Saccharomyces cerevisiae S288C: one gene and its partners. Each later gene encodes a partner of the first gene's protein in a complex. Each region holds a gene or a part of one and is shown in the gene's direction. Other genes may lie near its edges. The genes, in order: MRX14, MRPL33, MRPL31 and MRPL11.

What was found.
Region 2: MRX14 (region 1) and MRPL33 share a complex: the UniProt entries of both Saccharomyces cerevisiae proteins name them as parts of the mitochondrial large ribosomal subunit.
Region 3: MRX14 (region 1) and MRPL31 share a complex: the UniProt entries of both Saccharomyces cerevisiae proteins name them as parts of the mitochondrial large ribosomal subunit.
Region 4: MRX14 (region 1) and MRPL11 share a complex: the UniProt entries of both Saccharomyces cerevisiae proteins name them as parts of the mitochondrial large ribosomal subunit.

Annotation. Positions count from the first base shown.
Region 1 is NC_001136.10:680,432-682,992, forward strand, and holds MRX14 (mitochondrial 54S ribosomal protein bL34m MRX14), read left to right. Parts: upstream 1-1,743; coding exon 1,744-2,061; downstream 2,062-2,561. Other genes in the region: PDS1 (securin), read right to left, coding at 65-1,186; YDR114C (uncharacterized protein), read right to left, coding at 1,493-1,795; mitochondrial 54S ribosomal protein uL1m MRPL1, read right to left, coding at 2,293-2,561. UniProt on the Saccharomyces cerevisiae protein: Component of the mitochondrial ribosome (mitoribosome), a dedicated translation machinery responsible for the synthesis of mitochondrial genome-encoded proteins, including at least some of the essential transmembrane subunits of the mitochondrial respiratory chain.
Region 2 is NC_001145.3:840,190-842,731, forward strand, and holds MRPL33 (mitochondrial 54S ribosomal protein uL30m MRPL33), read left to right. Parts: upstream 1-1,752; coding exon 1,753-2,013; downstream 2,014-2,542. Other genes in the region: NGL2 (RNA exonuclease), read right to left, coding at 1-1,502; DSS1 (exoribonuclease II), read right to left, coding at 2,247-2,542. UniProt on the Saccharomyces cerevisiae protein: Component of the mitochondrial ribosome (mitoribosome), a dedicated translation machinery responsible for the synthesis of mitochondrial genome-encoded proteins, including at least some of the essential transmembrane subunits of the mitochondrial respiratory chain.
Region 3 is NC_001143.9:184,786-187,707, reverse strand, and holds MRPL31 (mitochondrial 54S ribosomal protein mL60 MRPL31), read left to right. Parts: upstream 1-2,026; coding exon 2,027-2,422; downstream 2,423-2,922. Other genes in the region: APL2 (Apl2p), read left to right, coding at 1-1,248; CMC1 (Cmc1p), read right to left, coding at 1,416-1,751; HSK3 (Hsk3p), read left to right, coding at 2,696-2,905. UniProt on the Saccharomyces cerevisiae protein: Component of the mitochondrial ribosome (mitoribosome), a dedicated translation machinery responsible for the synthesis of mitochondrial genome-encoded proteins, including at least some of the essential transmembrane subunits of the mitochondrial respiratory chain.
Region 4 is NC_001136.10:96,876-99,795, forward strand, and holds MRPL11 (mitochondrial 54S ribosomal protein uL10m MRPL11), read left to right. Parts: upstream 1-1,599; coding exon 1,600-2,349; downstream 2,350-2,920. Other genes in the region: ACK1 (Ack1p), read right to left, coding at 1-1,078; TRM8 (tRNA (guanine46-N7)-methyltransferase), read left to right, coding at 2,686-2,920. UniProt on the Saccharomyces cerevisiae protein: Component of the mitochondrial ribosome (mitoribosome), a dedicated translation machinery responsible for the synthesis of mitochondrial genome-encoded proteins, including at least some of the essential transmembrane subunits of the mitochondrial respiratory chain.

The DNA of each region.
Region 1 (2,561 bases):
GTATGTTATAAAGTATCTGTATATACGTGTATATATGTTGTGTGTATGTGAATGAGCAGTGGATCTAAGTAACTAAGTCCTCTAGTTCTTCAGGATCGAGGCCTTCTTCGCTGTACACTAACTCCATGGTTGGGACGGCGGCAACTTCTTTGAAGTTCTTAGACAGCAGTGGTAACGCTGCACCTTCTTCTTGATTCCGAGTGATGCACTCAGTCTCATCTTTTTCGCCTTCTTCATCAATTTGTTCTAGTGGGAGTAAATCAACTTTATCTGGGGTGTCATCTTCGTCTTCCAAGTCAAGCTTATATGGTGAGTTGAACGTCTTCAGCTTTTCAATATCATCTTGTTGAAATGGGGAATAGCCTTCTGGTACATACGGTAACGGCTCCTGCCTCTGTGGTGCTATTTCGATATCATAGTCATCAGTTTTATCACTTTTATCGTTTTTAGTTTTTTGCTCATTCTTCGTGGAGTTCTTTATGAGTTGTTGCAGACCACCTTGCTCATTAAATAGTCCTAGGCCACCATTTAATTCATTTTCACCGTCGGAGGAATCCTGTTTTAAAAGTGCACTTTGGAGTTTTTTGCCAAGTTTACTCTCGGAATCTTCATTACCTTCATCATCGTCGGAACTCTCTTCATTTTTACCTGAATCTGCAAGATCTTTTAAAACTAGACTTTTCATTTTAGGTAAAGCATTATAACCAAGGACAGAACCGTACTTTTGTAACTTTCTTGAATTGCTTAACAAATCATTATGGTTGGCCCTACTACGACTGCGAGAAATTTGCGAAAGTTTCCTGAGTTGGTCGTTTTTGCGTATAGATAGTGTATTCTGTAGTTGTGGTAAGTCTGCATCTTTACTCTGATTAGAAGTTTCGGGAAAAATAAAGCTTTTCGATCTATTGTTGTCTTTTGCTGCCAGAGGCAATCTTCCTTGTTGTTGCGCATGGGTATGCAACCTTTTTGTGGGTGACACCTCCTTCCCTCCTTGTATGTACTTTAATGTGTTGCCATTGTTGCTGTTCGCATCCCTTTTGAGTTGGTCCAATCTTACAGGTGGTTTTAAAATATTAGAGTGCGACCTTTTCAGCAAGTGAGCCGGCGTCTGTGGAAAGTTAATGCCGGAACTTTCATTCCCTGTATATACGATATTATTCTCTTTATCTTCGTTAGCTGGCATCATAAAGGTTTATTATCTAGCACTTAATCTAGCTTGGTACCGCAGAAGTGTAATAGTATGTGAATGGGAAAAACCGCTAGCAACCGTTACTTGCCTTCGCCGAATATTGATTTAAAGCTGCATTTATTTTGTTTGTTTATTTTGTTTGTTTTTCTTTTTGACCTCTTACACGAGTTTTTTGACGCGTTTGAGATCTTTGTGTGAAAACGATAAGCAACCTACGCTAACAAATACACACGTCGCACGGAAAGTGATAGTGAAGCAGATATTTCTCGCAAATCCTATGTTATCCGTAAAATAAATCCAACCCTAAAGTATTAACATGTAACAACTTAAGCGCTTCCTTAAGACTGTATAGATATATATATATACATATATATACATAATCATGAAACGCATCGTCGAAAGGTCATTTGAAGCTCGGATCACGTGATCGAAAGCTGTAAGGAATTTGAAAAGCCAATTTTCCCGTAGAAGCTGTGAGGTACAACAAGTGAAATAACTACAGGAGAAACTCACTGAGAAACGTTGGAATAGAACAGTAGTAATCGCAGGACGGAATGCCACTATTTGCAAGGCTCTGCCAGCCTCAATCAAGAAGAATGTTTTCATCTATATCTTCTTTCTCTGCTCTATCTGTGTTACGCCCACAAACCGGTATGCTCTTAAACAGTTCACCATTGAAGACTCCGTCCTTCACACCGTTGGGATTTGGCTTAATAGGTCAAAGAAGATGGAAATCAAGGGGTAACACCTATCAACCTAGTACATTGAAACGGAAGAGAACTTTTGGTTTCTTGGCTAGGGCCAAGAGCAAACAGGGCTCTAAGATATTGAAAAGGAGGAAGCTCAAAGGTAGGTGGTTTTTGTCTCATTGAAATTTCACATACTATTCAGATAAATTTGAATACTTCTTGTACATAGGTATCTAATGATTATGCAACATACACTTTCACTATTATTCAAAAATAAAAGAGCAGTTACTTTATTCCACTTTAAAAAGACGGTTACTTTGTATGTACATGATTTTATATAAAAAGAAAGAAAATGCACCAGTATATATATATATACAATTAAAAAAGTCCAACAAGACAAAACTGATTCGCTGATTAAGCAAAATCGATTACAATACCGGGGCCATGTGTGCTTGATAATGTGGTTTTACTCAGTATATTTGGTTTCTTAGATTTTTGATTATCAACAGCAGTTTTAAATGCCGCTCTAGCGGATATAATGTTTTGTAAAATTTCTCGATCAGTGAAGTAGCATTTGCCGACTCCAATGCTGATAGAGTTTCCCCTTTGCCTGAAAGGCATAGATCCTAGACTTTCTTGAAGTAAGGAGCTTATATCATCACTCACCGTACCTTTTTTGACAG
Region 2 (2,542 bases), on another chromosome or scaffold:
GCATATTCTCCAACATGTGGTTGTCCATGCTTTGTCATTTCATTACCGGGCGGCATTCTCAAAAAACCTCTGCATTTAACTTTATTTTCTTTTTCAAAATCGCCAAGGGTTTCCACTTCCTGACAATTACTTTGTGGGTCCCATTTCTTTACATAAAATAGATAGTCTAATAAACCACGCCAAGTGTTTGCCCAATTTGAAATTTCAGGCTCACCTCTATCATTATCAAGACCTGCATTTTCTGGATGAACATTCTTATACCCAACAGAGTATAGTGAAATAGCCCTCATATCCAATGAGTTATGGAGTTGTGCCATTTTATCTACGAGTTCAGACTGTTCTTCATTAGCATGAAATTTTTCAGGAACGGGGCTCTCAGGTTGATCTTTACCATATTTTTCAATATTCCCGCCTTCTTCGTCATCTGCACCTTCTTCGCCATCACGGACCTTGGAAAACTTATATGAAGTGCTGCACCCAATGACGGTCTTTGCCCTGTTTCTATAGTGCACTGGTTTGGATGTCATAGATAAATATGGTGTGTCGAACGGCTGGGAATTAAAATCACCACAGAAAAAAGGAAACCAATGAGATAAATCCCCATCATTTTCGTTCTGTAAAACATTCACACGATGCATGAATTCCTTCATCTTTTTTAAAACAATATAGCATTGTCTTGTTCGTTCATAAGTACCAAATGGATGCCAAAATAGATGCGTAGTGCCGATCAAGATACCGCATTTTTTAGACGATTTTTTACCCAAATTCGACAGTACTTTCTCAGAAAACTTCAAGGCTAAGACTAATCCCACGTTGTTTGTCGTTGTTCTAGTGGAAATGCTTTCTGAACTTTCTTTATCATAGTCGATTAGCATTTTGTCAACCTGGTGAAATAATTCTCTCCTCCACATTATCGCGACACCATGGTTTTTTGTAGCATTTCTATAATATTGTCCATCGTATCCCAATTTACTGAATTCATCTTTCCAAAAGCTTTGAAACTGAATATGATCAATCTCTTGCAAACAAATGACATCGGAATTATAATATTTAAACTCGTTTAAGAGAACTTTAGAACGCCTGTACCATTTTAAAGCGTCACCACTATCCGGGAACAGCTTTCTGCGGATTAGAGCTTGCGCCAAGCAATTATAAGTCATTAGCTTGAATCTAAATCCAGTTACTGGCTCTGCCTCATGTAGAGATAGGAAAGGTCTTCTGATAAAATGCAGCTCTGGCGGGCAGTCCGGATCAACACCTTGAGCCAACATTGCATCTCTTTTAGCCTTTCTCATAACTTCCCTTTCGGCACGAACCTTAGCGATATGTTCTGGGGTCACTATGGGCTTCGATTTTTTACCTTTCTTGCCCTTCTTTTTATGTTGAAGTAACGAATCATCATTGGTTTGATGTTTTGCATCTTTTACAGATTTATTAATTTCTACTTCTTGGTCGGGCGCAACATCTGGGGCAACCACTTTGACTTCTTTGTCTTGTGTCATATTTACTTAATACTCTTAACTACAATTAAGAAGCTATAAGGAGACTACAATCTCATCTTCTTGCAACACTACTTTTCCTTTCCTCTTGCTTTAGTGCAACCATTTTTTGAAAAATGAATGGTCTTTCTGCACGAAATATCTCTCGAAGAGCTTTTCTAGATATTAAGGATAAAGTATATCATCCCAAAAGTTAGGTGATGGAATCAATATTGATGGACCAGCTAAAACACGTTGAAAGCAGATATCAGGAATGGTGTTTTACAAAGTCACGTTGAGTAGGTCGCTTATCGGTGTGCCACACACAACGAAGAGCATTGTCAAAAGTTTGGGTTTAGGTAAAAGAGGGTCCATAGTCTACAAAAAAGTAAACCCGGCCATAGCTGGCTCCCTAGCTAAAGTAAAAGAGTTAGTCAAAGTAGAAGTAACAGAACATGAATTAACACCATCGCAGCAACGAGAGTTGAGAAAGTCAAACCCTGGGTTTATAGTGGAGAAGAGAACCATCGACTGAAACAGCGAAAATAAGGCAACTGGATTTCCTTTCTTCTTGATATTCCTGACTTATATATGTATATAGTATTATTTTTTCCTGCATAGGCACATATGTTAATAGTAATTTATGCAATTTTTGATACAAAGAAATCAATACACTATCTCGATTTCATATTTTATGTATGTATATATTTACAAGAAGAAAATTATGCATGGTCTATTGAATTTTATATTTGGAAAAAGAGTCCCTTTTTATAGCTTTTCCAACTCTAACATTCCTTCTAAACAGTCAATTTTTGAAATTTTACAATTCTTCACGATATCTCCAATCATCGGATAATGCATAGAACTTGGATGCAATTTTAATGTTCCTCTAGCGAACGATAAGTCTGGAAAAACACATCCAGTAAATCCGTTCTGCGGTACTGATGTTACCATTACATCGAAAGTCCTTTCTGGCTCTAGTTTGGTTAGCTTTTTTAAATAATTCAGTGTCCAGTACGTCGACGAATTACGGCTAGCCCTTTTTAAAATATCCGCTCGAGATT
Region 3 (2,922 bases), on another chromosome or scaffold:
TATGTTGCTTTGAAAAATATTAGGATCATATTGGAGAAATATCCAGAGCTGTTAACCAAAGAATTGAGAATATTTTATGTCAAGTTCAACGATCCTCTTTACGTCAAGTTAGAGAAGATCGATATCCTTGTAAGACTAGTCGATCCTTCCAACTTGAAACAATGTACTTTGTTGTTGACAGAATTAAAGGAATACGCAATGGAATATGAACCTGAGTTTGTTTCAAGAGCTATTCAAGCTTTGTCCCAGTTGGGTATTAAATATGCACAAGAATCATTCGTCAGTAAAGTCTTGGATATTCTCCTAGAATTGTTAGAAAGACAAGACACAATAAAAGACGACTGCTGTATATCATTATGTGATTTATTAAGACATTGCCCCGGAAACGATAAGATGGCCAAACAAGTTTGTGCAGTATTTAATACTTGGTCAAATCCAGAGGTGTTATTACAATCAGATATTGCGAAGTGCAACTATGTCTGGTTGCTAGGACAGCATCCCAACAATTTCTCAGATTTGGAGTCAAAAATCAATATTTTTATAGAGAACTTTGTTCAAGAGGAAGCTTTAACACAGATGTCTTTACTAATGACAATAGTCAGACTACATGCTACTTTAACGGGTAGTATGCTACAAAGCGTCCTAGAATTGGCCACACAACAGACACATGAATTAGATGTGCGAGATATGGCTATGATGTATTGGAGATGCCTTTCGATGCCAAATAATGAAAGTTTGGTTAATGATCTATGTCAAAATAAACTTCCAATGATCTCCAATACACTGGAGAAGTTTTCACCAGAAGTGCTAGAGAAACTATTAATGGAATTGGGTACTATAAGTTCCATTTATTTCAAGCCCGACTCAAATAGGAGAAAAGGCAAAAAGTATGTTCAAAATATAGTTAAAGGAAAACATATAGAGGAATTAGAAAGCATGGCAAAAAATGAAATTTCTAGCAAGGCTAACGATGATGTGCTATTGGATTTTGATGAAAGAGATGATGTAACAAATACAAATGCAGGAATGCTGAATACTTTAACAACTTTAGGCGATTTGGATGATTTATTTGATTTCGGACCATCTGAGGATGCCACACAAATAAATACAAATGATACCAAGGCTGTACAAGGGTTGAAGGAGCTGAAACTAGGTGGCGACTCAAACGGTATATCTTCTGGTGGTAAAAACAATCCCGATGTTTCGGGCGGCAATATAGTGTCACAGGATCTCCTCGATTTATTCTGACTATAAACGTCCGTTGTAGTGAACTTAAGTATTATACCATACATATATACCCTTCGTATTAATTTTTCCTTTTTATTGTTGGGCTGTGTGTATATAATTTATGTACAAGAATGGATATATCAAAAAATCCTTAAAAGATGTAAATCAAAAACATCAATCAACACAGCTTATTTTGTAGAGCTTTGTTTTTGACATAACTTTTCAAGCTTGTTGATTTTTTCTAAAACAATTTTATCCCTTTCACCATCTAAATATTTCTCATCTGTTTGATAAAACAGGAGGCACGATTTCATTTCATCTCGTTGCTTATCACAAGTGGGAAAAACTTTCATTCCATTTGCCTTAGCACAATCTGCCATTGCTTGAACAAAATTTGCACATTTTTTGTATGTTTCCGTCTTCAAGTTCTTGCGAGCCTGTTGTTCTTCGCGAGGACTTAGCACCCATATAGGTAGCCTAGAACTATGTTTCGAGATCATCTGCGGATCTTTGTTTTGCTCCATCTTATCAAATATATGAAAGTTGTTCCAGATAACTTGAAGATATTCGACTTTTGTATCTCTGGCTTTAATTATGGTTAAATCTTCCTAAACTATCATAGGTATAAATACAGGGCACTCCGTTTTCAACTTTATAATCGGAGAAGTACAAGAGCATTCAAAAAGTTCAAGAGAACGGTATAACAAAAGGACAAAGGGAAGCCAAAGAGGGAAAAAAGATATCCGTACTTTGTAGGAAGGAGACGTATTTAAAAGGCTACCCAAGTTATAAGACTCCAATGTTTGGCCCATTCAAATTAACAAGCCCCGTCGCTGGTGGCCTACTATGGAAAATTCCATGGAGAATGTCCACACATCAAAAAACCCGTCAAAGGGAAAGATTAAGAAACGTTGATCAAGTCATAAAGCAATTAACTTTAGGTCTCCACGTCCAAAGATGTCAGGATAAAGGTCTTACTTATCAAGAAGCCATGGAGAGCAAAAAGAAATACAAGCCAAGAAGTAAATCGTTAAGGTTGTTAAACAAACCATCAGTCTTTCCAAAGGAGAATCAAATGTCTTCTAAAGATAAATATTGGACTTTTGATAAAAAAGCTGTTGGTTATAGGAAGGGTATTCATAAGGTGCCCAAGTGGACGAAGATTTCCATTAGAAAGGCCCCAAAATTCTTTTGAATGATACGTAAAAGATCGTTTTATTGATATAAAAATTTCATCTGTATATAGTTTAATCATTGAATAACTTGTTTATAGATCCATGTTTGAAAGTAACACTCCTAAGAAGGCTTTGATGTTTTGTATTGCTCATATTATATCATGCCCATTGAAATCAACGTTATTTTTTTGTAAAGGTGGGAAGAAAGATCAACAAGATAAATGGCGAAATAGAACATATCAGAACATTTGAACTTCAAAACGAAGAGGACACAAAGAATTTCAGGCAAGAGAATGAACGCTAACAAACAAAGGCAGTATAATCAGCTTGCACACGAACTTAGAGAGCTTCAAACGAATTTACAGGAAACGACAAAACAACTAGATATCATGTCGAAACAATGTAACGAAAACTTGGTAGGCCAATTGGGTAAGGTACATGGAAGTTGGTTGATAGGTAGTTACATTTATTATATGGAGCAGATGCTTGGAAAAACGCAATAAGGCATAAGAGGTAAGAC
Region 4 (2,920 bases), 580 kb from region 1:
TCAATTTCGCAGCTTTACAATAATATTCCAGCGCCTTTTCATCATTTTTAATAACGATGTTTTTGTTCTTTATAGGTAAATAGGGTTGGTGTGAATACAGCGTCCCCATTAAATACATGGCAGGTGGCCATTTTAAAGTTATCAATTTTGTGAGCACCTTGAATGAATGTTCCAAAATGACTTTCTGGTTTTTGAGCATTTCCTCAGGCTTTAAGCTTCTTTTGAGCTTCTCCGCGTTTATGTTATATTGCGATATGAAATCCTCATTAAAGGCATATGTAAGTAATGTTTCACACCATTGCATTTGTATCTCGGGGGTGAATTTTGAAGAGTCAGTAATTGTCTTCTTGTACACTTGATAGAAAGCCAATGCCTCTGGTGAATAGGAAGACAGTTTGTCCTCACCACCTGAGGACCCATTATCGTCTGTCTTCGCGCTCCCAGTGGGTGGTTGGTTGATTTTTTGTGGTGGAACAGGATTATTATTCAAAGGTCGTATTGGAGCTTTTTCCTCGGTTCTGTAAACTTTTTCCTGCAGTATCCTAGATTCAGATTCCTCATAGGGTGGTGGCGCTGAGTTGTCCCTTACAGACTCTGATATTCGATTTCCACTGCTTATTGATGCATCTTGTACAGCTGGTGAACCCAAACTCTCTTTTGTAGAACTAAAATTGAAAGGAAGTTCATACCTACTACCAGTACTGTTGGTGCCATTATTGGCATATCCTATTTCACCTGTTGGCTTGGAATTAAAAATGTCCATGCCGTTATTACTATTTATGGTTACTGGAGTGCCTAATTGACCACCATCAGCATTCCCGTCTGTGAAATTCAGCGCACTCAAAGGCAGCGATAATGATGAGGAAGATGAAGGGGATGTAAAAGGAATAGCTGGTGTGAGTTCAACGATAGAGTCATCCACTGGATAGGGTGCAGGCACTATATTTTGAGCTGGCAAACCATGCCTATCCGAATTGGCATTTCCCAATTTATGCGAGGACTCCCGCGCCCTTGCTGGTGGAAACATGTTAATGTGTTTGTCATAGAGGTTAGGTTGCGGTTGGCCCTGATTAACCATTGCCTACTGTATTAAAACAAAGTATTAAAACGTGGTGGTACACTCTGTACAAAAGAATAGAAGGAAATGAAAAGAAAACGGAGTTAAAATCTACTTCATAAAAAGAGACGCTTCCAAATCCAGTCTCTACCACGTTCTTGTATATAATTTGAGCAACTCAAATTAAATTACCGGGATATCTGCTTATTCTACAAGCCATAGCATCCAGTGCTAAGGTTCATCTCAAGCCATCTTCAATACACTTGATAATTAGTCGTCAATTTTAAAATTAGGTTTCGTTCTTGAAGGCACTTAACCTAAGCTTTTTACTATATGACCTATTAAACAAGTCTTTTTCATAGTGTAACCTAACGTTTATACACTAATAACCCTAGGGCTTAGTAGAGATTCATACAGAAAAAAACGTAGAGTTATAGCAGTAAACTGAGAAAAGAAAGAAGGTTAGTACAATTGAAGAGTAAGGAAAACAAAAGCTTTAGACCTTATTGGAAGTGCTTGGGCGCGGAGTGTGATTATAAATAATGTTGCAGCTAAGGTTTATGCCTGGATGGGTCCCCAGAAATGGTTTTTTTGGTTTGAAGGAGACAATTGGTACAGTACATAAGAGATTTTATGCTCTGGCTTCTGAACAACCCTCAAGAAAGACAGTAAAGCCGCTGGACTCGAGGAAGACGTTTCTCATCGATACATACAAGCATTTAATGGAGAACAGTTCTATGATTTTTTTTGTCCATTACAATAATCTTTCCAAAACAGAAGATCACCATTTCAGATTCAAGATTAAACAGACAGGAGGGAAACTCACAAAAGTAAGAAACAACCTGTTCGAAGTCTACTTGAGAAATTCGCATCTGCCCGACCCATGTGGATTCGTGAAGCGTAAAGAGCAAAACTGGAAACATCCACTCTTGCCACTACTGAAGGGTCCTACGGCCACAATTACATACGAAGACACCAACCCTCAACAAGTAGCCAAGCTATTGAAGGTTCTGCAGTCAGCACAAGACAAGCTGATGGTGATTGGTGCAAAAGTAGAAAACGAAGTTTTGAATGTGGAAAAAATAAACACTTTTAAGACTCTCCCCACAAAGCCGGAAATGCAGTCGCAGTTAGTCAGCGTTTTGCAAATGCTAAGTGGGTTGGGTTTGGTTCGTACGTTGGAAAACAGTTCAAATGCATTGTATTTAACACTAAAATCTCACAATGACAACCAAAAACCTAAAGAGGATGTGGAGTCAACTACAGATGCAGAATCGAAGGGATCAAAGTAAAAAGAAAATGCCCGTAATTCGACAAGTTTTATAAAGGTTTTACTATTCAATCATGTACATACATCATCAAAAAATAAAAAGACAATGAAGCAATAACGGTAAATATACTTTAGTCTATGTATTGACGTCAAAATTACCTTTCTTTTACCTTTCTTACCTTTTTACATATCTCAGCGACCGTTGAAAAAAAAAAAAAATGAAAAATTTTGGTGATGACTTCAGCAAAAAATTTCAGGATATTTCTGACATTTCACTTTATTAAAGCGCCACAAAAGCTGGATTAGTATAGATTCAGCAGTTCCCATAGGATAAAATTTTCAAGCGTTTATTGTTAAGATGAAAGCCAAGCCACTAAGCCAAGATCCAGGCTCCAAGCGTTACGCATACCGTATAAATAAGGAAGAAAATCGTAAGGAGTTGAAGCATGTAAAGATCAATGAAAGTTCTTTGGTGCAAGAAGGCCAAAAGATCGACTTGCCAAAGAAGAGATATTATCGTCAAAGGGCGCATTCCAACCCATTTTCAGATCACCAGTTAGAGTACCCAGTATCTCCCCAGGATATGGATTGGT